Linked DNA regions of Arabidopsis thaliana. The protein of the gene in region 3 interacts with the protein of the main gene of each other region in a pairwise test. Each region holds a gene or a part of one and is shown on either strand. Other genes may lie near its edges. The genes, in order: MGP, AT5G24740 and SCR.

The links.
Region 1: the proteins of SCR (region 3) and MGP interact in binary tests that used the Arabidopsis thaliana proteins (3 or more experiments, as listed by UniProt).
Region 2: the proteins of SCR (region 3) and AT5G24740 interact in a protein complementation assay, tested with the Arabidopsis thaliana proteins (one study listed by BioGRID).

Annotation. Positions count from the first base shown.
Region 1 is NC_003070.9:966,706-975,071, forward strand, and holds MGP (C2H2 and C2HC zinc fingers superfamily protein), read right to left. Parts: upstream 3,630-8,366; 5' UTR 3,354-3,629; coding exon 3,203-3,353; intron 3,007-3,202; coding exon 2,610-3,006; intron 1,864-2,609; coding exon 891-1,863; 3' UTR 765-890; downstream 1-764. UniProt on the Arabidopsis thaliana protein: Transcription factor that regulates tissue boundaries and asymmetric cell division. Contributes to the sequestration of 'SHORT-ROOT' to the nucleus. Interacts with the SCR and MGP promoters.
Region 2 is NC_003076.8:8,485,417-8,493,099, forward strand, and holds the start of AT5G24740 (vacuolar protein sorting-associated protein, putative (DUF1162)), read right to left. Parts: upstream 4,452-7,683; 5' UTR 4,288-4,451; coding exon 4,182-4,287; intron 4,081-4,181; coding exon 4,003-4,080; intron 3,922-4,002; coding exon 3,809-3,921; intron 3,725-3,808; coding exon 3,631-3,724; intron 3,551-3,630; coding exon 3,507-3,550; intron 3,329-3,506; coding exon 3,260-3,328; intron 2,958-3,259; coding exon 2,896-2,957; intron 2,608-2,895; exon of another isoform or gene 2,523-2,607; coding exon of another isoform or gene 2,500-2,522; coding exon 2,292-2,499; intron 1,852-2,291; coding exon 1,783-1,851; intron 1,686-1,782; coding exon 1,606-1,685; intron 1,470-1,605; coding exon 1,320-1,469; intron 1,113-1,319; coding exon 1,049-1,112; intron 71-1,048; coding exon 1-70. Other genes in the region: AT5G24750 (UDP-Glycosyltransferase superfamily protein), read right to left, coding at 5,405-5,479, 5,664-5,888, 6,199-6,238, 6,352-6,411, 6,496-6,705, 6,853-7,063, 7,460-7,494.
Region 3 is NC_003074.8:20,068,288-20,076,462, forward strand, and holds SCR (GRAS family transcription factor), read left to right. Parts: upstream 1-1,699; 5' UTR 1,700-2,262; coding exon 2,263-3,794; intron 3,795-3,908; coding exon 3,909-4,338; 3' UTR 4,339-4,591; downstream 4,592-8,175. Other genes in the region: AT3G54210 (Ribosomal protein L17 family protein), read right to left, coding at 1-98; SUA (suppressor of abi3-5), read left to right, coding at 5,585-5,632, 5,817-5,857, 6,059-6,773, 6,864-6,935, 7,023-7,115, 7,206-7,285, 7,433-7,586. UniProt on the Arabidopsis thaliana protein: Transcription factor required for quiescent center cells specification and maintenance of surrounding stem cells, and for the asymmetric cell division involved in radial pattern formation in roots.

The DNA.
Region 1 (8,366 bases), on a different chromosome or scaffold from region 3:
CGATCTTTCAACAACCTAATGTACAGAATAAAGTACTAAACTTGAACAAAGTACAGTAAGATTCTGAGGAAAGATTTAAACTTTGGAGAGATAGACAGAGAAAGATCTCCCAAAGACCGACTGAAGATTTGGTCCGTACTAATCAAAGGCCCATAAGTTTAAGCCCATTAAGATTTTCCAGAACCACTAGCAATATTATTACCTAATTTTATTTTATTTTGGTGAGAATTATTATTAGCTATTCTTTAAAGAAAATCTTTTCTCTTTTATTTTTCTATCTCTCTTCATTTTTCATTTCTTAATGTTTTCCTCCACTATGAATTGCCCTGCAAGTTAAGTTTAGAATTATTGAGCTCAAAAGCCTTCATGTTTTTCTTGTGTGCCCACCACTTCTCGATCCACACTTTTTCTATGGCATATATACAAAATACATACAATTGATTAAGTACTTATTTATTTTTAAAAAAGCATATCAAACACCTTTCTACACATAGTGAATATGAATGAATCTTAACTTTTCTTCAACGAAAAAAAAAAAAAAATTCTTCAACGAAAATGCTCATATAATAATACCAATATGTGAATCACACTACATTATACTTGTGTCTAGTGTAGTCTATAAATTGAAAAAATAAAATAAGAAGAGTACTACAAGTATAGACTAGTTGACCTAAATTTAGCAAAAATCTGATGGAAGAGTAAATTTTGAGACGTAGGTGATCATTTTGAATTTGAGAAGATACGATAAATCTAATAACCACAATCGATCGTAAAATTAATTTATGATTTTGGTCTGGTGAAATAAATCATTTTTAAAATTAATTAAAGAAATCAGCTTTGATAATTAAGTTCACTCATAAATAAGGTAGAAAAATCCATTAAAGAGTGTTTCAAATCCATCCATTGATAGAGGAAGAATGGCATATTGTTTGTACACCAACCCCAAGAAAATCCCGAGTTTGCCCTCCTCCTCCCGCATTCCCAATATCAACTCTTCTACGCTTCCAAGGGTAATTCTGTAATTCACCCATCCCCGAAACGACCGTAACGCCGTTTCTAGGGTTCCCGATCTCGTGAAGACCGTTATTATTATTACTCATTAACTCGACACTGTTCGATCCAAACGAAGCAAAGAACCTGTCGCTGCCACCATCTTCTACAATCTGATTACTCTTCGATGCAAAACTCTGAAGATACGCTGATTGGTCGGTAGTAATCGTCGTCGTTGGTGACGTAGAAGAAGTCGCTCCCATCTGAGCAGCTTTTTGGAGTAACGCAGTCGCCGACATATTTGCAACAGCCACAGAAGCAGCGTTTGCGTCTTGGGTAATTTGGTCAACGCTGCTAAAAAGAGAAGGCACGGAAAGAGAAGTTGCCCCGTTAGCGTTTTCCTTACTCTGGACGATATTAATATTATTGTCATGAGTAATGAGTGAATCGCTCGTCGTTATTAACTCGCCGTGATTATTCGCGTTTCCGAAAACCCAATTGTAATCCTCTTGCGGTGAATGCGGCTGCGGCGCCATACGGTCCTCGATGGTCACTTGCTGATGATGATTAATATTTCCTCCCGACCATAAAGAGAGCGTAGACGCTGGTTTCATGACGTCTTGATGATCGAAGTTGTTGGTTGTGATTGGGAATTGGTGGTGGTGATGATGTTGCGGTTGCGGTGGTCCGAACGGAAACGACGGTGGTTGTGGTAGTGATGGTGATGGGATAAGTGTCCCCATGAGATAATGATAGTTTAGATTACTACCAGCGGTTGCGGCAAAGCTTTTGAGATGCGAGGCTGCGTTTAGCCTAGCGGTTTCTTCTGCTAAAGCGTCACAGAACGCTCTATGTGTAATGAAGCTGTCTCTCCTGTTGACCAAATTATACACACCAATAAGATCAATATCGTCTATACACACTCGCTAATTTATGCTTGTGTTTAATATGTATGTATATAGTAATATAGATAGCAATTAAGGAAAAAAAGATAAATAAAGTTGTATATCTTACTTTAACCAAAATATGTCAATCCAAGAAACTGTCTTATTCAAGAAATCAAGCAGCACGTATGCTCAGAGAATGACCAATATGGCAATATCTATACAAAAGTAACTCCAAATTATTTTGTTTTAGACCCTACATGAGCTACTACTTCCAACAAAAAACATGTATCTTATTTACTTACAAATTGTTTCACAAAAAAAAAAAAAAAAATCTTATTTACTTACAAACAACGTGGTAAAACGAAATTTGTTTGTGTGGTCCAGTGGTACAGTAGTGTTAGTTGAGGTAACAGATTCGTTTTTTTTTTGTTTTTCATCATAGTATTCACCCGGTAAAATATAAGCTCTAGCTAGGTTTAGTATGAGTTTTAAGATATGTATATAAGTATATATATATTCTTCCTATATTCTAATATATTCAAACATGATTAACTTTACTGGTTAAGAAGTTAAAATCATATTTGAATCTATATATAATGCAATTAAACATGATATGCGCTTACAGCTAGGTGATCAAAATATTTGTTACGCCACTAAAAATATATGATACCGTGATGAGGAAATGTAAAGATCATCTATTAGTACGTACGTGTGTAGATATACACTAAGTACCTGGAGAAAATTGTACCACAGTCGCATCTATATTCTCTAGTCCCACAAGTCTTGGAATGAGCCTTCCAGTCAGATTGGACTGCATATCTCTTGGCGCATTTCTCACACTTCCACTTTTTCTCGCCATGTTTCCGACAAAAATGTTTCTTAATGCCGGTAAGATCACCAAGTGCCCTCGTCGGATGGTGGTGGACGCAACTCTTTTCTGGACATACATACACTCGTTTCCTTACTTCTTTGCTCGTCCTCTGCTTTAGCTTCCATGGGAGGTTGTGTCCTCGACGGTGAAGCTGTAGATTCTGGTCTCTTTGAAACCCTTTTCCACATATCTCGCAGAGGAAACGATTTGTGGCCATAAGTGTCTTTGGAGATAGAGCTATGACCTCAGCTTCTGGATCTATAGAGAACGAAATATAACAATCAAATTCTGGATACATATTTGATCATGTGAAAGATCTAAACAGTAGAAAGCATGCATGTTTGTAGATCAAGATCGAAAAAAAAAAGAACATGACTTTTCAGCAAACAGAAAAAAAAATGTTGATTAGGGTTGAATTATTTTGTGATCTCTATTAAACTTAATTAATTGTTACCAGGATTTCCAGGGAGGTTTCTCTTCTTCTTGACAAGAGGAGGATTGAGGGATTCATGTTGATCATGATGATGATGATCAACATGATCAGTTGTTGATGAGCTTTGGACATATCCTCCACTACTTGAAATTGTCTGATCTTCAGTTGTCATGTCTTCTTCTTGGACAAAAGTTTTGTTGGAAGAGATTGAAAAGGTAATTAATTAAGTTTTAAATAAGAGATGGAGGATGAGCAAAGGTAATGAAGAGAAAATAAATAGAAATACTTAGAATCTGATGTAGTTATGAATGAGAGGCAAACACAAAAGATAAGTTATATTGGGTGATCACTTTATATATACACCCTACACACTTAAGCCCCATATGTGTACTAAAAAATAATATTCCTCTTTCTTTCAAACAAAAAAATATAAGCACCTTGATCTGTAAGAACTGTCGCAGCTATTGTCATAAATTATTAAACTTTCATATATTTTTCCCATTTTATTTATATTTCGCAGTTAAAAGTTAATGGCGGTGGAAATTAACTATATTTATCTGGAAATATTTGATTATTTGGTTTTTCAGTGGCAGTGCGTCATGACACACACAAAAGTTTCTATGTCTGCCTTTTTCTATTTGGAATGATGATCTCATTATTTCTTTTCTCCGTTCTTTTTTTCATCATCCTCAGGTAAAATTAACTTCTTTAATTGTTCTTCTCCTTATAGTTTCTCTTAATGTTATTTTTAGTAGAAAGTCGTATATAAAGCACAGTCATGGTGTATATAATTTGAGATTTTAATTTGACCGTAAATTGAGGCGGTCAAAGAAGTAAACAGATCCAACGGCGCAGGTCACATCTCTCGTTTATTGTTGAGAACAAAGCCTGCAATGCACGTGTACCCATGCACGTGCTCGTGAGGTAAAATCCAACAACATACGACAACGAAATTAAAAACCTAAATATGCAAAAGAGAATAATCGTCCGGTCGACAGTGAAAACGAAAACCATGCGAACTCTTCCCGTCAAGTACCCCACTTCAAATTTTCGTTTTGATATTCGATTTTCCTTCAAAAAATTGTTAATTTTCCTTTGACAAAAACAAAAAAATTGCTAATTTCGATATTAATAATTGTGAAAAAATTCATGTTTGTGGAATTGAGTATAAGAGAAGTTAGTAGATACGTACGAGTATCTTGTTCATGCTTTTTCTTACAAAGATCTTTTTGCAATGCTCCCTATTCGTCTTTTTCTTTAGCAAACTTTTTCTCGCCCTACAAATGAAAGTATTTTCTAACGTATTTTTTTAAAAAAAAATAGAATCTTAACTTATTTTTAAAAAAGATCAGAACTCGAAATCCCATTAAAAAAAAAAAGATTGAACCAAAAAAGTAATTCTAACCTACTATATATGTGCAAGCTAGTAAATTTTCTCTCGGAGATCATAACTATTATAAACTCATACCAAAATTTTAATTGAAAATTTATTTTGTAGTTTATTATCCTAAGACTGAGCATATGTATCGGAGTTGTATAAACTAGTCTATTATTATTATCGTGTTATAATTTGGATAAAATCCTATATATAAAATAATATTGTAGATGAAAAAAAACGGTAAACAATTCGACCATATCAAAATCTCGATCATATCGATTTTCAAAGAAAAGTAAACTAAATGTGCTTTTTTATTTACCCCTAGCTGAAAGTAAGATAATTATGGTTAGTTAATTAATCGAAAGTACGAAGAGACAGAGAACTGACAAAATGCAGGTGAATTTTTGGAAGGAAGAGAAGTCGTCAGCTTGTGGGCTGACTTAATTACCAATTCTTTAGGTAATTTACACTTTAATCATAATGTAATCATGTTTTAAGATTCCTATAAAATAATAACATTAGTTTAGTGTTTTAGTTTTGGATTTTTCTTCTTGAACTTTGGCGGCACAAGAATATTCCCTTATTTTTCGAGACGTTGTTATAGTATATTATTGTTCCCTTTATATAATCAAGATTTATATACAGATGGGCATTTACACAAATGGGAAACTGGGATTTTTTTTTGTTACTGTAAAGTATAAAGAGATGCGTTCATATGAGTGTATCCAAAAACAAAAATATGTCAATTTTTTTGTTATGTAGAGCTCCTACGTACAAATGAATTTACACGATAATTATCTATTTGAATTTGGTCTATCCCGCTCATATTTAAATAAAGTTCGAATAGTAAATCCTATGTTTCAAGTTTCTAAAGAAATGCTGATTTGAATCTGTACAATATAATTGTAAATTGAGTATAGTTCAAAAAAAATTTGTGAACAATGATGATAGTGGAGATATAACGCATCAACACAAATAAAAAAGTTCAAATTTAGTCAAGAATAATTCTTTGTCTACATTTACATATGTTTCCATGGTCGTCGTTTATATATTTAAACATAGTTCATGAGTTTAAATACATATGAATTATTTTTAATTTAGCTGGCTATATCAATTTCAACATCATATATAAAACTATTGGAGCATTTTTTTTTCTTGCCGGACCTAAACTACTTACTCGGTTATTTTCTACATTTCCTTTATTGTAAACTCAAAGAGAATAACATTGATAAGACAGATTTAGATCCAGAGGGTACATTACAGATATACCACAGGCTTTTGGTTCATAAAATGCGCAATATACTATATATATATATTTTTTTTTGGTAGAAAATATACTATATATATTACATATATACCCACGATAGTGTAGGGGAAACTCACATATTACCCCATTATTATTTTAATTTTTGAATGGTATTAGTGTAAGAACGGATTAGCTAGTCTGCTGCAAACGTTAATTAATCAAATTTTCAACTGATCTACACCAATGTTTTATTCCAACAAGTAAGCAACTTGCGTTAAAAATTATCACCAGCATAAGCTTGTGTGCATATACTAGATGCATCCACATATTTATAACGCAAAGATTCATGTGGTCATATGTAGATGTAGAATAATATTAGCATAGGCCAAAAAGTATTAAAATGGATTCACATAAAACAACATTAGCTAGAATCCATCTATACGTATTCTTGGGAAAATAAAATAAAAAGTACAAACTAAGCCATGAATAAATGTGTATACAATTATATATATATATATATATATATATATATATACTGTATTAAACGTATGCCTATAAAAAATAAAATGCAATAAACGACATTTCAAAGAAGACAAAGGTTAGATCCATACCATAGCATAGAAACTTGGCGATATATGAAATACAAATAAGAATATAATGGAGATATGATTAGACTTAAAGTATACATATGTCACTTAGTGGATGATAATGGCCTTCTTGTTTTACTCGGACTTGACCAATCCAATAAATTTCGGTCAAATTGATATCGACATTCTACTAATCAAAATCACTCTATATCTTTTATTGATTTTTTTTCCAACCACCTTACCTTTTCCGTTCTATTTTAAACTCTTGGAATGCATTGTTACTTATAACACAGATACAATTAATATATATTTAAATGATAGAAATTTTTTGTAAAGCAATTTCATGATTGTAATTGGAAATTTTTGTATTAAATTTTATTTGTGATCAAAACTTCAAATTGATATTTAGTTTTTTTTTTTTTAATAGTTCACATATTTATCATCATATATCGTCTCCAATTGCTTTTTATTTTTAAAGGGTTTATCGTCTCCAATTGCTAGGAAATTAGAAATACGAGTGCATGTGTATACTTTTTTTACAGATAAGAGAAACTCATACTCATAGATTGACAAGCTTATGGAACCAATAAACAAAATGGTTACGTTCTTATTACCCGAATAAAAAAAAAGGTTACGTTTCATGCAATTATATGTGAAAATCTTTAATAAAAAAGGGATATTTAAAAGATTCCTTTTTAATGGGTCCTAAAGTAATTAAAAGATAAAGTCAAGCTTTCCAACCATTTTCCACAAAGTTGATAGAAACTATTCATGAGTGCAAAGCGAGAAAAAGAGAGTAATACCTAAACATAGGATCAAGTGGTAGTTAATTACTCCATTTTAATGGAGAGAAAAAAGAAAAGTGGTAGTTAAGTGAAATGGTCACTGTCTCTGTATATGAATCTTCAATGTCAATTATCTATACACCTATAGTGCAAACCAAACTTCAACAGTTACAATATGTATAATCTTACACAATTCACTAAAATTTGTCCATCATAGTTATTTATTCAACGTATATATCTGCGTATATATGAGTTAACCAAGTCTGGGCTTCGAGTCTCAATGTATTTATTAGTTTTAGCACTGGCGCCACTATTTGTTTCAAACGATCAATTGCTTTAAATCTGATGGTAATGGCTTGTCTAACTTCAGAGAAAAGTTAATACGGAATATGCAATTACAATTAACAAAAGAAAATTCTTTCATTTTTTTCTTCTAATATATATAATCACGTGTATGACCACAAATTTTGCCGTCCGGTTGAGAGTGATCGAAGGTGTATATGACTCTCGTGAATCACGGTATCAAATGATATAATCATAAATTTTTGTGATTTAACTATGTGCTTCATGATGGTGGATGCAAAACGTAACATATATTTGGTCAGCTAAATTTATTGTTTTTTTGTTATAAAAGATAAATTTATTGTTTTGAAATATTTGAACTTTGCTTCGTACATAAATATCTTGATAAATTTAAAATTATTTTTTTGATATTAAACGTATCCATGAAATATATATATATATATATATGGATACGTTTAATATCAAAAAAATAATTTTAAATTTATCAAGATATTTAAAATTATATATATATATATATATATGGAGGATAACTTATACAGCTCAGAAAGTTAAATTACAAGTTCACAAATCTTCTTCACAAAAATATATAAAAATAAATATATTTTCCATGGTTTTTCTTGAATTATTTGACGGCTAATCATTGGATGGTGATCAGGACATGGCATTTTTCATGTTACGTATAGTATATGGTTAGAGATTTGAATAGGCTAGTTAAAATATCGAAATTGCTACCAAACGGTCAAATCTGGTCCACCTTCATCCATAATGGTTCGTTGATGCATTCGGGCTCGCAAAAAGCATGTTAGAAAAAGTTGGTGATAATTACTTAAAGTTGTTTTTTTCGCAATATAATATAGTAATAAAAAAATGTTATTGGCTTCATGAT
Region 2 (7,683 bases), on a different chromosome or scaffold from region 3:
TTAAGATATCATCAATATCAGACTTCTTCTCCAATTCTTCCAAACCCAAACGGATGGACTTATCGATTGACTGTAGCCAGAAGCATATAGCACAGACATATTAGTAGAGAAGCCACATGACAAGAACAACTCAGGTTTGAAAATGCTATAGAAGAAATATATATAATACACCAATTCATTTGAATGTTATGAAGGTTACGCGCATTAGTTGAACAAAATATGTACAAATATGTCGACCGTAAAGCATCTTAGCAACATATATATGATGGAGACTATGGCTAAGCAACAAAAAGTTTAGGGACGAGAACATATGTATTTCTTTCAGTCAGCGATTTCAGAACAACTACATTTTTACGATGATAACCTCCTATAGAGTACTTTATTGATGTTAGAAGAAGAGAAATGTTTCTTCAATTTCCATATTTTTTGAAATGTATGATGACGCTTAGACCAAGTATTCTACAATTTCTACCTCTGATTTCAATATTCCAACAATTTTAAAAGTTCCCTACACTGCTACAGCTACCTATGAAATAAAACAGAATAAACCGTGCTTCTTTAGAGGGAAGCAAGCGCGCCAAGCTAAGAAAAATTCACTACCCGTCTACCTTTTGCATACATACGGAAGCACGTGCTAAGATATAAGATTTTAAAATAATGGCAGCCCGTATTTAAATATGCTTCTAAATCATCTTCTAGTTAATTACGCATTCTTAGAACACAACCAGATGATTAATCACCTCATAATATGCTCCCTGATAGACTTATATGATGTGAAATGTGCTTCTAAACCATCTCCTTACCACTATCCATTCATTTACATTTTGCAGTAGTAGGACAAAACACATCGAAATGAAAAACCACCTCATGAGATGCTCCCTAGTTATGTAAAATCACCTAAAACTAATAAGGCTTCCTATATCTACATAGAATCCAACAGGCTGGGTTAGGCAAGTTCATGCAGTTAAACAAATAGGAGGACACATTGCAACATAATGAACAAACCCTGACACTTCTAATCAGGTAAGGAGGAAAATAAGATCCTTGCCTGTTCTCTGAGAAGGAGATCTAGCTTTATCTTGTAGAAGTTGATATACCTCCTGCGGATTCTCCTGTATTTTTTCGCCGAAACAAAAATCTAAAAGTGAGCAGACCGCTTGAATACATTCCAGGAGTATTTGTCTACTTATGCCATGAAACAGTAAGTTATTTGCGTGGAAGTAAAGTATGCAGAAGTTTTACGAGAAATCAAAATTGTAATAGCTATTAAGCATCATCTAATTAAAAGAAAAGAAATGATGTAAGCAACGTAAACTTACATTCGCTGTTCAAGAAATCTCCATGAAGTTTTCCACAGTTTCTTCCGTACATCAGATAAAACTGAATTTTGGGCATAGTGCCACCAAAGTTTCTGCCATCCAGGTGGTTTCCTCGATAAAGAAGTGGAGCAGGGACGATACCGCCCATACCTATACCATTTAAAAGGTTCTTTAATCAGTAGTTCTTCAAAAAAACGTTCTGTAGTATCCAATAATAGAGCTAAATCTCAGGAGGAAAAAAAGTTTGAATTGAGGAAAAATTATCGCTACCCTAATGAAAGCTTACCTCTCACGCAACTGGCTGGTTTGCAAATAATCTAACAGAATAAGAATCTGCTGCAATTGAAATTCATTCAGAGTCACCACCTAAAACGCATCAGTGCCAATTGGAAGTTAGAGTGAGTCATGAAATGGTAAATAAATCTGAGCTCTGAACCTAGTTTAGCAATTTCTGAGAACTAACCACATCAGTCAACTCAGCGCTGATAGAATACTGAGGAAGATCGTCATAAAGCTCTCCAGATCGATTGACCTATGCAAAGAAGTATATCAGGCAAAATGAAGAATGCCTATTTACATACAGCACAAAAATGCACTCAAGCAATAGCTGATGCATAGACCAATTTACTTTCTGTATAAATATTGTATCATTGATCAGATAGCTGTAAAAATCTTTCACCAAACACAATGTCCATATGGAGCTGATGGTGACATATAAACGAATTGGCAAAAATGTTATGCAAATCCTTTCTGATAACATTGATTGATTAATATGTCATCAAAATTTCGTAGGCCATCAGGTAAATCAAGACTCAGTACGGCAGATATAACATATAAATGTGTACATCTCATTTTTAACATAACCCTAAAGCAAGAGCAAGGATGTAGCACCTTGAAGCAGCAACAAAGATTAGATGATAACAAAAGATGTTAAGAGACAGCAAACCAATGACGCTGTTTTAGATCCATTACCAATAGCGTTACAGAAACATGGACTGGCTTCAGTAAATAACCAAATCTATTGCTTTGCAATCTTGACTGGCACCAATTGTCAAAACCTATTTTTTCATTAACACTTGGAAAGTCCATGTTTCCCTCATACATGTCACAATATATTTCCAAACCTTCAACCTCCACAAGTATATTCACTTGCCCCCCTCTCACCCTACCAACTGATGGCCTGATATTCAACAGAGACATCATGTCAAATATTTCAGGAAGCACATATATCCACCACAGGTCTTGTCTTATCAACAATAATTTAGCTTATGGAAAAAACAGGTTTAAGGAGATTTTACAGTAAGAAAAGAGACAGTTGGAAGAAAGTTATAATGGGGTATCGCCAAACCAATAGAATAAAGCAAAGCTACAAGGAATCAAATACGAAACTAGAATATATATTAAGTGACATAGAAGAAACAAGGCAACTGGAAAGAAATTAATGCGGGGTCTGCTCTCTGCTGTCTCACAATGTAATTCAAAGAACATATCCTTGCCATATATAAAGCAAAGCTCGGAATCAAACACAAAGTGGAGTACATTTAAAAGTGCAAGAGAAGGTGCATAAAGAGATTACCCAACTGAGTTTTGTTTAGTAACTGTCAAGCTTGAAAACCGCAATCCTAATACAACTTGCCCCTGTGACAGCAGTTTAGAGTAAAAACATATGAAAGTGGGAAAGTAGACAACACCAAACGATTATTCAAGTTATATTCTAGTGAATCACAAGAAAGACTGATAGTAGTTTAGCATCACAATGCTCAAATATATTTGACTCTATCTAGATACATATCCTCCATGATAAATGCTATGCTCTCACAAACAAACCAATACTACGATATGATCGATGTATATAAGTTTCAACAATATCAATGGGAGGATAACAAAATACAAGCCTATATTCTAGCAAACTAATTAAACTGAACAAGCAAGAGACTTACCGATTCAGGTTGTGCATCTGAGTATAAGATGTGAAAATTTTTGATGGACACTTGAACGCTATCAAGAATCTAAGCCAAGAAAGAAGGAACGTTAACATAGTAGAAAAAAATAAAATAAATAAGATTGATAACCTCATCCAAAATCAGGAAGATCTACTAAAAACCAGTAACAGATCAATCATAATATGAAAAATGTAAGATGATTAACTAGAGGTAGCAAAAGGAGGATTGCGGAACGTAATGTTACCTTGGCAGTAATATATGACATATAAGAATTTCCGCCTGGATTGTCTGGGAAAAAAAATGAAGGAACTCAACAAATTTTGTATAGGAAAGATAAATTTTGTAGGACAAGAAGTATATTTGCTCACCGAAGACACGCCTGGACAATTTTGCCAGTTCTGCAGAAGCAAGTTTAGCTTTCTTACCAGCAAACTCTCTTTTCTCAACGACATCTGAACTCCACTGCAATGACCAAGCAATATACATATATGGTTTTAGAGGCAAACACTTTCATGTAGAAAAGGGCTACTAAACAAGAGTAATCACCTCTTGATCATTGCGTTGCGATGCACATATAAAGACATCTTCAATCATAATGGTTACAGGATCCCTATGAAGTTTCTTCCATGGAATTTTAATGCTCAATTTCCCAACACGGCCTATATAAACAATAAACGATTTGATCCCGAGAAAACGAAAAAAAGCTGACAGAATCGAAACTTCAATCCACTAACTATCACCTTGCTTGAGAGCAATTGGAAGCTGCAAATACTCAAACGCCTCAGGATTCAATTCCACGTTCTCCAATAAGACTTCTCCTGCAGTTAGAAGCAAGAAATTGTGCGTAAATCATCAAATACAGTGGGAGATTGTGGTGTTCGTTGAAACGGAAAATGGAAAGAGAAGACGGTGAAAATACCATTCCAGAGTGAGATCTTGAGCTGGTCTTTCTGGATGTCTTTAATGTAACGACCTAAGTACCCTAACAACAGGTTCACAAATCCTTGCACATATCCTTCAAGCATCTTTCAATCGCTATTTCATAATCCGGTGATTCAAAACGCGATAACGAATTTTACTCCGTCGGGAGAAGAAGGAAAGAGACGGTGGTCGGAGAAGTGTAAACGAGTCGAGGAATATCGTAGGGTTTTTCTTTCCCGTCGACGAAACAAAGACTTGTCTTCTTTCTTCTTCACAATCACAAGACGAATATTTCTTTCGGTTTCGTACCTTTCAAACCGAACCGGGTCAGACCAAAATTTCCCAATTTTTGCAAATTTGATTACGCTAACCGGCTAATACGCTAATTGGCTCTTATTTAAGGGATTTGAAACTCGCAAATTTTTGGGACTCATGGCTTCGATGTTTGAGGCTCTTGTAGAAGTTTCGGGTTGATTGTGGGTTGATGGGATTGCACTCATGGCTTCGCCATGTCACACGTTAAATGTAAAGGTTAATGGGGATGATGGTTAAGCGAGAGATTCAGTTTTTCTCTTCTTAGTATTTTATTTTGTATTGGAATTTCTCTTACTATTAGTTCCTTGTTAGTTTGATCTGTTTCTTTCCAGTTTGCTAAGATCGTTTAAAAACTTAGTTATGTGGGTATGTTTTACCCATTTTTGTGTGTCTTTTGTTTGTAATTCTCTTTAGGCTTCTCGTAAACTCTCGGGTTTGAGTCTCCCGCTAAACTTTCAGGCTTGTACTAGTTTGTAATGGCTCTATATGATATAATAAAGTTAGCACTCTTTTGACCCACAAAAAAAAAAAAAAATCACAAACTTTTTAAAACATTCAAATCTCTAAAACTGATTTTAGTTAAATGGAAAACAATTATATGATGTCTTATATATTTTAATCCAAAGATAAAGAAATCATAGATGTTTTTTCATTTATAAAATTTCAACTAATAGAAATAAATATTGTACAATTTAAGTAGTCATAAAATGATATAAATTGTACATAGAAACTAGAGAAAACTAATAAAATGGAATAAAAGAGAAAATCCTTAAACGTCTTTTATATTGGGACAGATGGAGACTTGGTAACATTAATAGACGTTAAATTTATGGATGCCAACAATCGGTAGGGCATTGATCACCATCACTTGATATGAGCTTTACGTTGTATATATGACAATGCTCATCAAAATATTCGGTTGCTGCCTGAAACTACACACACCTCTTCTCTAAGCACTCTCACAGCTTCTGTGACTCCATCCTGAAATCATTAATTTTTGGATACCTTAAAACTACCAGTTGCCAGAAATTACTCAAAACTATGAAAGAGAAAAGACTACGCTACATCGAAAAGAAAAGAAAAACTCCATGTGAAGAAAGGATACTTTGATTCTGGGGGCATGGATCAGGAGGAGAAGAATAGTAAACTGATCGTAAATAGTTACCTCAAGAGATAATATTTCAGCAATTTCCATGGCACGAGCCCTAGTCTTTGCAGACAGTGCATCGTATATGGCTTTCGCTACCACTTGTGCAGCTTCCGTGATGTTCTTCTCATCATTTGAGTCCTCTAGAAGCAGGTGGTTTCTTTTCAATGGTTGAGGAGCAACTCCAAGCCAAGACATCTTTTCTGCCCAATAGAACTGATCCAGCATAAATGGGCATATGATCTGTAAAAAGACATATACACACATTATGTGGTCACTTTTTGGCATTACAACTTGAAATGGATAACGCTTTAAGAACGTTAATCATCATTTTGTAACCAAGCAGTGCACAAAACTATGGTTTATGAGCAAAATTACTAGTAAAGTTTTTGGCTGAGTAATCATATAGCAATAAAGTTTATTGAAGGACCATGACATGTTCTTCTGATGTACTGGTTACTGTACAGCTATATTTCTACTGATCCTTCTCGACAAACAATTAGTTTTACCCTTATATATCAAAGATCTAATAAACTAACATACAAACACAAACCTGCGGGATTCCAGCCTGTAATGCTGCAGCAACAGAACCGCTGATTTCCACAGGGGACACAATTCATATAGAAAGACAAGAAAAAATCAGTTCACGTCTATTTATATGTGTGTCCATGCTCACCAAGAAAAGATATCCATGTGACATTTTTACCTGCCACCGTGATGAATCGCTGCAGCGCATGTTCGGAACATCCAGTTGTATGGCACCATACTAATTCAGAGAGACAACGAATTAAGAAAGTTATATGGCCACAGTGTAGATCGCCAACTAAATATTGGGCAAATTGGTGCTCACCCAGAGAAGCAGAAAAGCTTGCCGTTGAAAATAGAGATTCCCGCATGTAACGGTTGTTTCTCACTTGAATCTGATCCATTAGCAATGGTCCTAATTGCTGCATCTAAAGGTCCATAACTAGCTGTGAAAATGATAAATCTGTAACCTGTAATCTGAATAACAGATTGGAGAACTCGAAGAAAGGCTATGGGATCCCTTACAAAGCCCATGCTGCAAAAGCAAAGAGAACAATCACTACCGTACACTAATTCAGCATGCGTTAAATATCTGACAGAATAAGTCTCAGTTTTTTTCTGACGCCAAAGGTGTTGAAAACATAATCAGAAATGATGCAGAGAGATCAACTTAAATTTAGACCTTCCAACAGAACTCAACCCTACAAAGATAGGCAGAGCTGGCTCACAAGACGATATAAATGTATATAACTCAGTGTGGTTTGAGCATGTATGTGAATCGTCTGTACCCAGGCGCCCTGCAAAAGGATTGTCTCCACACTCGTTGCATGAAAACTGCCATTCATTGGGCAGAAACCAAAAGCCGCAGACTCGAACGCTCAATGGCCAGTAATCTGTTAATAAGAAAAAAATGGATGCAGTGAAACGCAGAGAACGAAGCTTTTCCAGGTCAATGACGATTAGACTGAGATTTTATAATGTGTTCTCAAGGCAGAAAAAAAACTGCGAGTCATCTTTAACTGTGAATCTGTTACATTCAATTAGTCTCTACCCTTTCTTAATGGAAAACAGAAATCCTTTCAAATTTGGATCTGTATTAACCTTTTTTTTCTCTGATATAAAGTTCCCATCACATATTTTCTAAAGAATACATAAATGGTAAGAATATAGCTGCAAAATATACCCAAAAGAAAGAAGAATAAAACTACTACCCATATAACTTTTTTGTCAAGAAGATGCTAGCAAAGCACAGAAAAATATTCGGTAGAAGTGAGAAATATCCCACATACCAGGGCATTCAACGATTTCTTTGCTGAAACCATACCTGTCACAGGGAAAATACGTACCAGGTCACCTACAAACATATGCAATCTCATTTGGGTTTTAAATTAATATCAGTATAATATTACCACTAAATTACTAAAAATTTCAAAGTTCTTAAAATTTAATCAGATTTTAGCCAGTGTTGGATATATAAAGTGAGAAAGTACATTAGGCAGATCAAGTAACCAGA
Region 3 (8,175 bases):
GCGGTGGAGGGAAGAGCTGATTTGAGAGAAGACATACTCCAGACTCTGCTCACGGAATCTGTAGGAGTCGCCATTGCCATGGACATTGGAATCGCCATTAGATTGTGATCCTCTGCAACAAAGCGGATTTTGCTGGTGTTGAATGGATAAGGGATAGAGGAAGAGGACTTTGTTTATCAGAAACCTTTTGATGGGCCTTAATGGGCCTATAAACTGTAACTCTGTAGCGCTTTGCCAACAAGAGACTTTTTAAGGTTTTTGTTGCCAAACAGATATTTGCATTTGGGCTATGTAATGTTAGAATTATTTTATAATGTATGCTATTGCTAGATATTGTTTAAGTGCATTTGTGATTTACAAACATTTCATTTTTATTTTGGTTTTAATGAGCATTTCTATTATAGAGACTTTGATGTTAATAAATGGTGTTCTAAGATATATTAAAATATTTTATATACTTTCTTAAAATTGGATAAATTTTGGGAAAATCCTTAATATCAGTTAAATTGAAGATAAAGAGTATTAAAAAAAACTATGTAGTAAAATACATTTCACATTTTTTGTGTATAATAGTACATGGTATTCGTTAAGATCACTCAAAAATTAACAAATTAAGTCTAAAAGGGCAGAAAAGACTATTCAAATATGGACTTGGAGAAAGACATTCAGCTTTTTACGCTGAGAAACTTTCATATTGAGCCGTGTGTTTGTGTTGTGAAGAGAAGTAATAAAAAATAATTTGAAGTGAAAAAGGAGAAGAAAAAATAAGATCGTAGAAAGCGTGGATGGTTTCTTCTTGGGTTCACTGCCATGCGATTATTAAATTGGCCATGGGGCTAGTGTTTGACGTACAAAAGTCTAAAAATTGTCAGTCAAACAGGTCCAAAACTTTGTAAGAAAAATAATATAATAATAGCAAATTTTCTAAAAATTGTTAAAAAAAGAACAAAAGGGAAAAGATGAGGATGCAGATGAAAGCAAAATGTCAAACACTAGTTTCAGATTTTATCGGGAACTGGGGTTTGACAGTTGGTGTATGTATGTAATGGCCTCTCATCAAAACATGTGCATCTTTTTCCTTTTTTGTTATTTACTGTTTTAGCTCTACGTCTTGTCCAATTCCTCTCAAGTAAAATGCCTTTAATATGATACTAATATACAAGGGGACTAATGCTTTTTCCCTTTTCTTATCCTTGTTTTGTCTAAATCTTTACTTGGATTCCTTTATTTTTCTCCTCTCTTTAGATTAGTACGGTTTAAGGAATACCATCTTTCTAATTTTAGCACAAAATTGCAAGTTGGTGCCCCATCTTAGTAAGCACATCGTACCACACTTTGATTGTGTGAGAGACTTCTTCATCCCATCTCTCATACCAAACCTAAATCAAATGACTAGTGGTGCAACCTGCTGACTCCATATGACCATAACTAATAAATCGGTTTATGAATCCAACTCATGTAGCTCTATAGAATAGAAACCCATTCATTTCACATAATGAACTGAATCTGACATTTTATTTACATCATTTACTACTCAATTTTGTAATTAGCAAGATCATCTTTTTCATTATTCAACAATTTTGATATTCCATAATTTATTAACTTTGTCATACATCATAATATTCTGAAATTTTGTTATATATTGTACCGGTTCCACGAAATAGAGCTCTATTATTATAGACCAAACAAACAAAATATTATCTTCTTGTGGTTAGTTCGAGAGAGAGGTCAAGAAGAAACGAAATGGATCGGCAAACGGAAGACGTCAAACACACAACGACGAACATTTTCCGATCACCCACCTAATCTCTTCCCATTTTTATTATTTTTCAAAACTCAAATTAATTAAGAAGAAAAAAACAGAAACAGAGAGAGAAAGAGTTAAGATGAATAGAGATAGAAAGAGTCATTAAATGTACGAAGCGACATTCACAATAATTCGAAAGGTGGAAGACGACTTAGATACGGCCAGGCTTCACTGTCCTCCTCGTCCTCCTCAATTACCCCTAACCCCTTTTTCCGGGATTCATCTCCAACCCACATCCTTCCAAATTCTCACCCCCTCACTGAGTTTTTGCTTTTTCTCCTCATCGGAGATCGTGAAGACGATCAAGTAATTTAAGAATCCCACCATTGATAAAAGAGTCTAGCTTTTCTACTACCAAACCTTTTTCTGTTTGGAAATTTTCGATTTTGGATTTAACCCTTTTCTTACCTTATTTATAACCATGCAATCTCACGACCAACAACCCTTCAATCTCCATGGCGGAATCCGGCGATTTCAACGGTGGTCAACCTCCTCCTCATAGTCCTCTGAGAACAACTTCTTCCGGTAGTAGCAGCAGCAACAACCGTGGTCCTCCTCCTCCTCCTCCTCCTCCTTTAGTGATGGTGAGAAAAAGATTAGCTTCCGAGATGTCTTCTAACCCTGACTACAACAACTCCTCTCGTCCTCCTCGCCGTGTCTCTCACCTTCTTGACTCCAACTACAATACTGTCACACCACAACAACCACCGTCTCTTACGGCGGCGGCTACTGTATCTTCTCAACCAAACCCACCACTCTCTGTTTGTGGCTTCTCTGGTCTTCCCGTTTTTCCTTCAGACCGTGGTGGTCGGAATGTTATGATGTCCGTACAACCAATGGATCAAGACTCTTCATCTTCTTCTGCTTCACCTACTGTATGGGTTGACGCCATTATCAGAGACCTTATCCATTCCTCAACTTCAGTCTCTATTCCTCAACTTATCCAAAACGTTAGAGACATTATCTTCCCTTGTAACCCAAATCTCGGTGCTCTTCTTGAATACAGGCTCCGATCTCTCATGCTCCTTGATCCTTCCTCTTCCTCTGACCCTTCTCCTCAAACTTTCGAACCTCTCTATCAGATCTCCAACAATCCTTCTCCTCCACAACAGCAACAGCAGCACCAACAACAACAACAACAGCATAAGCCTCCTCCTCCTCCGATTCAGCAGCAAGAAAGAGAAAATTCTTCTACCGATGCACCACCGCAACCAGAGACAGTGACGGCCACTGTTCCCGCCGTCCAAACAAATACGGCGGAGGCTTTAAGAGAGAGGAAGGAAGAGATTAAGAGGCAGAAGCAAGACGAAGAAGGATTACACCTTCTCACATTGCTGCTACAGTGTGCTGAAGCTGTCTCTGCTGATAATCTCGAAGAAGCAAACAAGCTTCTTCTTGAGATCTCTCAGTTATCAACTCCTTACGGGACCTCAGCGCAGAGAGTAGCTGCTTACTTCTCGGAAGCTATGTCAGCGAGATTACTCAACTCGTGTCTCGGAATTTACGCGGCTTTGCCTTCACGGTGGATGCCTCAAACGCATAGCTTGAAAATGGTCTCTGCGTTTCAGGTCTTTAATGGGATAAGCCCTTTAGTGAAATTCTCACACTTTACAGCGAATCAGGCGATTCAAGAAGCATTTGAGAAAGAAGACAGTGTACACATCATTGACTTGGACATCATGCAGGGACTTCAATGGCCTGGTTTATTCCACATTCTTGCTTCTAGACCTGGAGGACCTCCACACGTGCGACTCACGGGACTTGGTACTTCCATGGAAGCTCTTCAGGCTACAGGGAAACGTCTTTCGGATTTCGCAGATAAGCTTGGCCTGCCTTTTGAGTTCTGCCCTTTAGCTGAGAAAGTTGGAAACTTGGACACTGAGAGACTCAATGTGAGGAAAAGGGAAGCTGTGGCTGTTCACTGGCTTCAACATTCTCTTTATGATGTCACTGGCTCTGATGCACACACTCTCTGGTTACTCCAAAGGTAAAATAAACATTACCTTTTAATCACTCTTTATCTATAAATTATTTTAAGATTATATAGGAAAGATATGTTCTAAAAAGTGGCTTTTTTGGTTAATGATTGGGGAATGAACAGATTAGCTCCTAAAGTTGTGACAGTAGTGGAACAAGATTTGAGCCACGCTGGTTCTTTCTTAGGAAGATTTGTAGAAGCAATACATTACTACTCTGCACTCTTTGACTCACTGGGAGCAAGCTACGGCGAAGAGAGTGAAGAGAGACATGTCGTGGAACAGCAGCTATTATCGAAAGAGATACGGAATGTATTAGCGGTTGGAGGACCATCGAGAAGCGGTGAAGTGAAGTTTGAGAGCTGGAGGGAGAAAATGCAACAATGTGGGTTTAAAGGTATATCTTTAGCTGGAAATGCAGCTACACAAGCGACTCTACTGTTGGGAATGTTTCCTTCGGATGGTTACACTTTGGTTGATGATAATGGTACACTTAAGCTTGGATGGAAAGATCTTTCGTTACTCACTGCTTCAGCTTGGACGCCTCGTTCTTAGTTTTCTTCTCCTTTTTCACAAACAATGTGCCCATAAATAGATTTACCTGTTTTTTTTTTGTTATGTATCAAAAAGAGAGGATTTTTTGAAGTCAAATTGTTCTCACTCACACTCTGTATTGGCTACCTGATTGGTGGAATACATAGAAGTTAATCATGAAGATTAGAACACTTGATATTGAAGAAAACACTTGAAAATGGTACATCAATAATAAAAATGATAACACGTTTAACTGAAAAATCATTTACAAATACACAATTCTTTTGAAGGCTACCATTTTTTTTTTTGGGAATTGTTATGTATTTTTTTTTTAGCAACTTGAATTGTTTTGGTTTACTTTTTTCCAAAAAAAAAATATATACATGTTGTTTTTTATTTTTGTTATGGCAAAGAAATTGAGATGTTTGGATTTTTCAATTAAAAAAAAAAAAACTCATCTACGCCTTTTCATATTTCGCTTGAACAACAACGAAACCCTAATCTGGTTAAAGTTGGATTCGGCCAAGTCCACCACCGTGGAGCTCTGAATTCATTTCTCTTGTAATTCATCGATCGCTGTTGAATATTTTCAATTTGAGTTCCCACGGTAGAAACCATTCCGATTTATACGGCTACTTCATCGCTCGAGCTCTCTCGTTTCTGTATCGATCGCAGCGTATCTGATTTGTCACCGGTTTCAGGCTTGTTTCTCTGACCTCTGGTTATCGGCTCCCTGATTTTGCGCTCTATCTATTAATCAATCTCTTATTCCAAGTCTTTGTTCCGCTGTTATCACAGCTCATCTTCATCTTCCATTCACTGGTGTCTTTGGTCCGGCGTCGTTGTGCTGCTTTCAGTTCATCACAGGTATTCTCATTTTTACCTGTTTCTTTTTTATTGAGGATTTCGTGGATGTGACCAGTTCAAGTTTTTTGTATGTTACTTTGTATAGCTTTTAAGACTCGATTACTGAGAATTTAGGCCTAATCGTCAGCTGAAAATATAATGATCTCTACTGTTGTATGCATTCTTCTCGTGCTTTTGTTACTTCATCGCCAATGCATGTTTTTCTACTCTGAGAGTGAGAGAATCTCTAGCTAGTTCCTACAAAGTCTCTTTGTGATCAGTGTTGGGAATTCTTAATTATATATGCATTAAGATATACCTGTCTCAGACTCTATACGTGATTTTCAGGAAAGAGCTTTAAATATTAAGCTTTGAATATTCTCTCAGACCATCAAAGATTTGCTTGGTGCACTGGCCGGAAATGGATCCTAGTCGATATGGTCGTCAGCAAGAATGGGATAATAACAGTGTAATTGTGGTTTTCTCCTTACATATATGGGATGATAAACAAGATATTTTTAGGGATGTTATGAATCTCAACTCATCCGTGGAGTGAGAGACTTGGGAGAGTGAGGATGTGGATGGGATTTGGCTAATGTAATATCCGTCAATGATGTTTGTTGCTGACATAGCTTATTCTCTTCAATTCACAGGCTCCGGAGGGTTATGGTACTCAGCATGATCCAAATCATCGGTGAGTGCTAGTAAAATGGATTACATTGATGTAGTTGTTAATTTGTTATTGCTCATGGGGGTATATTTATTTTAGCTACTGTAACTAAATTGTATTTCTTGTACTTTATTTGGTTTGGTTACTTGTGCCGAAATATTCATGATAGTTCATATTTCATTTTTTTAATATCTTTTCTGTACCTATACTACATTGCTCTTACAGGTTTGGCGTATCATATGATGACGGATATCCTGATGAAAGGTTGATGCGGGATGATGTCTACAACTATCCACCTGGACATAATACTCTGGGTGACTTGCCTCAATCTAGAAAGCGAAACTATGAAGAAAATTATCCCAGTGAACTTCGCAGGCAAGAAAAGCCTTACATCGATTCAAATTATGCTGCTGACTATTATCATGATAGTGAAGCTGGGAGTCGTAATGGACATTACCGTGATCATGAACACGAAAGGTCGTCCAGATATGATGGCTGCGATGACTATTCTTGTAATGATAACAACTATAGATCGAAAAATTACCATCATAGCAGAGATGATGGTCGTGAAAAAGATTATGATTATACTCGCCGAAGTTATGATTCTGAGTATGAAAGGGCCAGTGTGAGAGATGGCAGTCGAAAGAGCCGTGATCCGCAGGACAGAGAACGGAATTCTCGAGATAGAGAATGGGATTCACGTGATAGGGAGTGGGACAAAAGATGTTACAGCCGCGAAAGAGATGAGAGTCCTCATAAGAGATATGAGAAGTCACGATCTCGATCTACCGGACGTGGGGAGTTCTCTAGATCAAGATCTCCTAGAGGTCGGAGCCATGGGCGGAGTTACCGGGAGGACAGCTATGAGGGGGATCACTGGAATGAAAGTGAGAGGCGAAGAGAATATGAAGATAGACATAACCAGGATCATTTTTCTGCTGTATAAAATATTCTCTCATCCCTGGTCTATATTCTTTTGTTGCGAAGACATTTAAAAAATCCGTTCCTATATTTTTATGGTTTTTGCTAGACCCCATCCGCCACTGTTGTTGTGAAGGGTCTCTCTATGAAATCAACAGAAGAAGATCTATACCAGATTCTGGTAAACTCTTCATTTTTTTGAATCTGTATGTCCTCAGGTTTAAACAATTTTTCATGCATGACTTCATTATTCCCATGTGCATGCTAGGCTGAATGGGGTCCTTTGCATCATGTTCGTGTTATTCGGGAGCAAAATTCTGGGATTTCTCGTGGATTTGCTTTTATTGATTTCCCCACGGTGGTATTTGCTTTCAACTAATCTGTTAATTCCTTGCGCTTTTTCTTGTGATTTCTTCAACACTGTGTGCATTTATGTATTTTGTCTGAGCAGGATGCCGCACGCACCATGATGGATAGAATTGAGCATGATGGTATAGTTTTGGATGGAAGGAAACTTATGTTCCATTACAGGTCTTTTTTTAAATAAACATAAGACTTTGATTGATTTAGATATTACCTATGGAGGGATCATAGAATTACTACACATTTAAATTATTGTTTCTTGACCGTTTCAGTATCAGAGTATAACATTCTTACACTAAATTGCGTGTGTTGTAGCAGCCAACCTACTGGTAGGGCTGGTGTGTCCCGTAGGCAGGAACATGCTTCTAGACGCAGTTATGGTGGAAGTCGAAACATGATAGTTCCCACAGATTGGATCTGTACAATCTGTGGCTGTATCAATTTTGCGCGGCGAACCTCTTGCTTTCAGGTTGGTGCATTGTTTTGGATGAAAGTTCTGTAAATTTCATTGTCAGGACTAGAGTATAAACCCATCTGTTAAGAACAGAAATTACATATATTTAATTACCGGAAGAACTACTCATTGTTTGGTGATTCTAGAGTCTCAAACAAAGTGATAACTACTCATGATTTGGTGACGACAATACCTTAAAAAAAATAGAACCGATAAAACTTTCAGAATATATCTGTTTTTTGCTCCTTAGAGATTATTTGCAGTTCCTTTTGGTGACGAATATGTATCATCAATTGACACTTTGTTTGAGACTAGGGTGGCATACATATTTTGGTAGTAATGGTAAATGAACATTTTAATTTAATGTCGACACATTGATGTCCATACCTATGCTAGAATGTATTTGTTTGCATATACAATAGTTTGTTTGGAAATAGAGAAATTTCCATTTTTCAAATGTCAATAAAAAAAGAAGTCAACTAAAACCCTTTAACTGATCTTTTTTGATGGGTTTTTAATTTATCTTTCCTTCTATTTACTTAAACTCTGTGAAGTCTTTATCAATAGTTTAATCTTGTGGTGGACAATTGTATCTGTAGCCCTT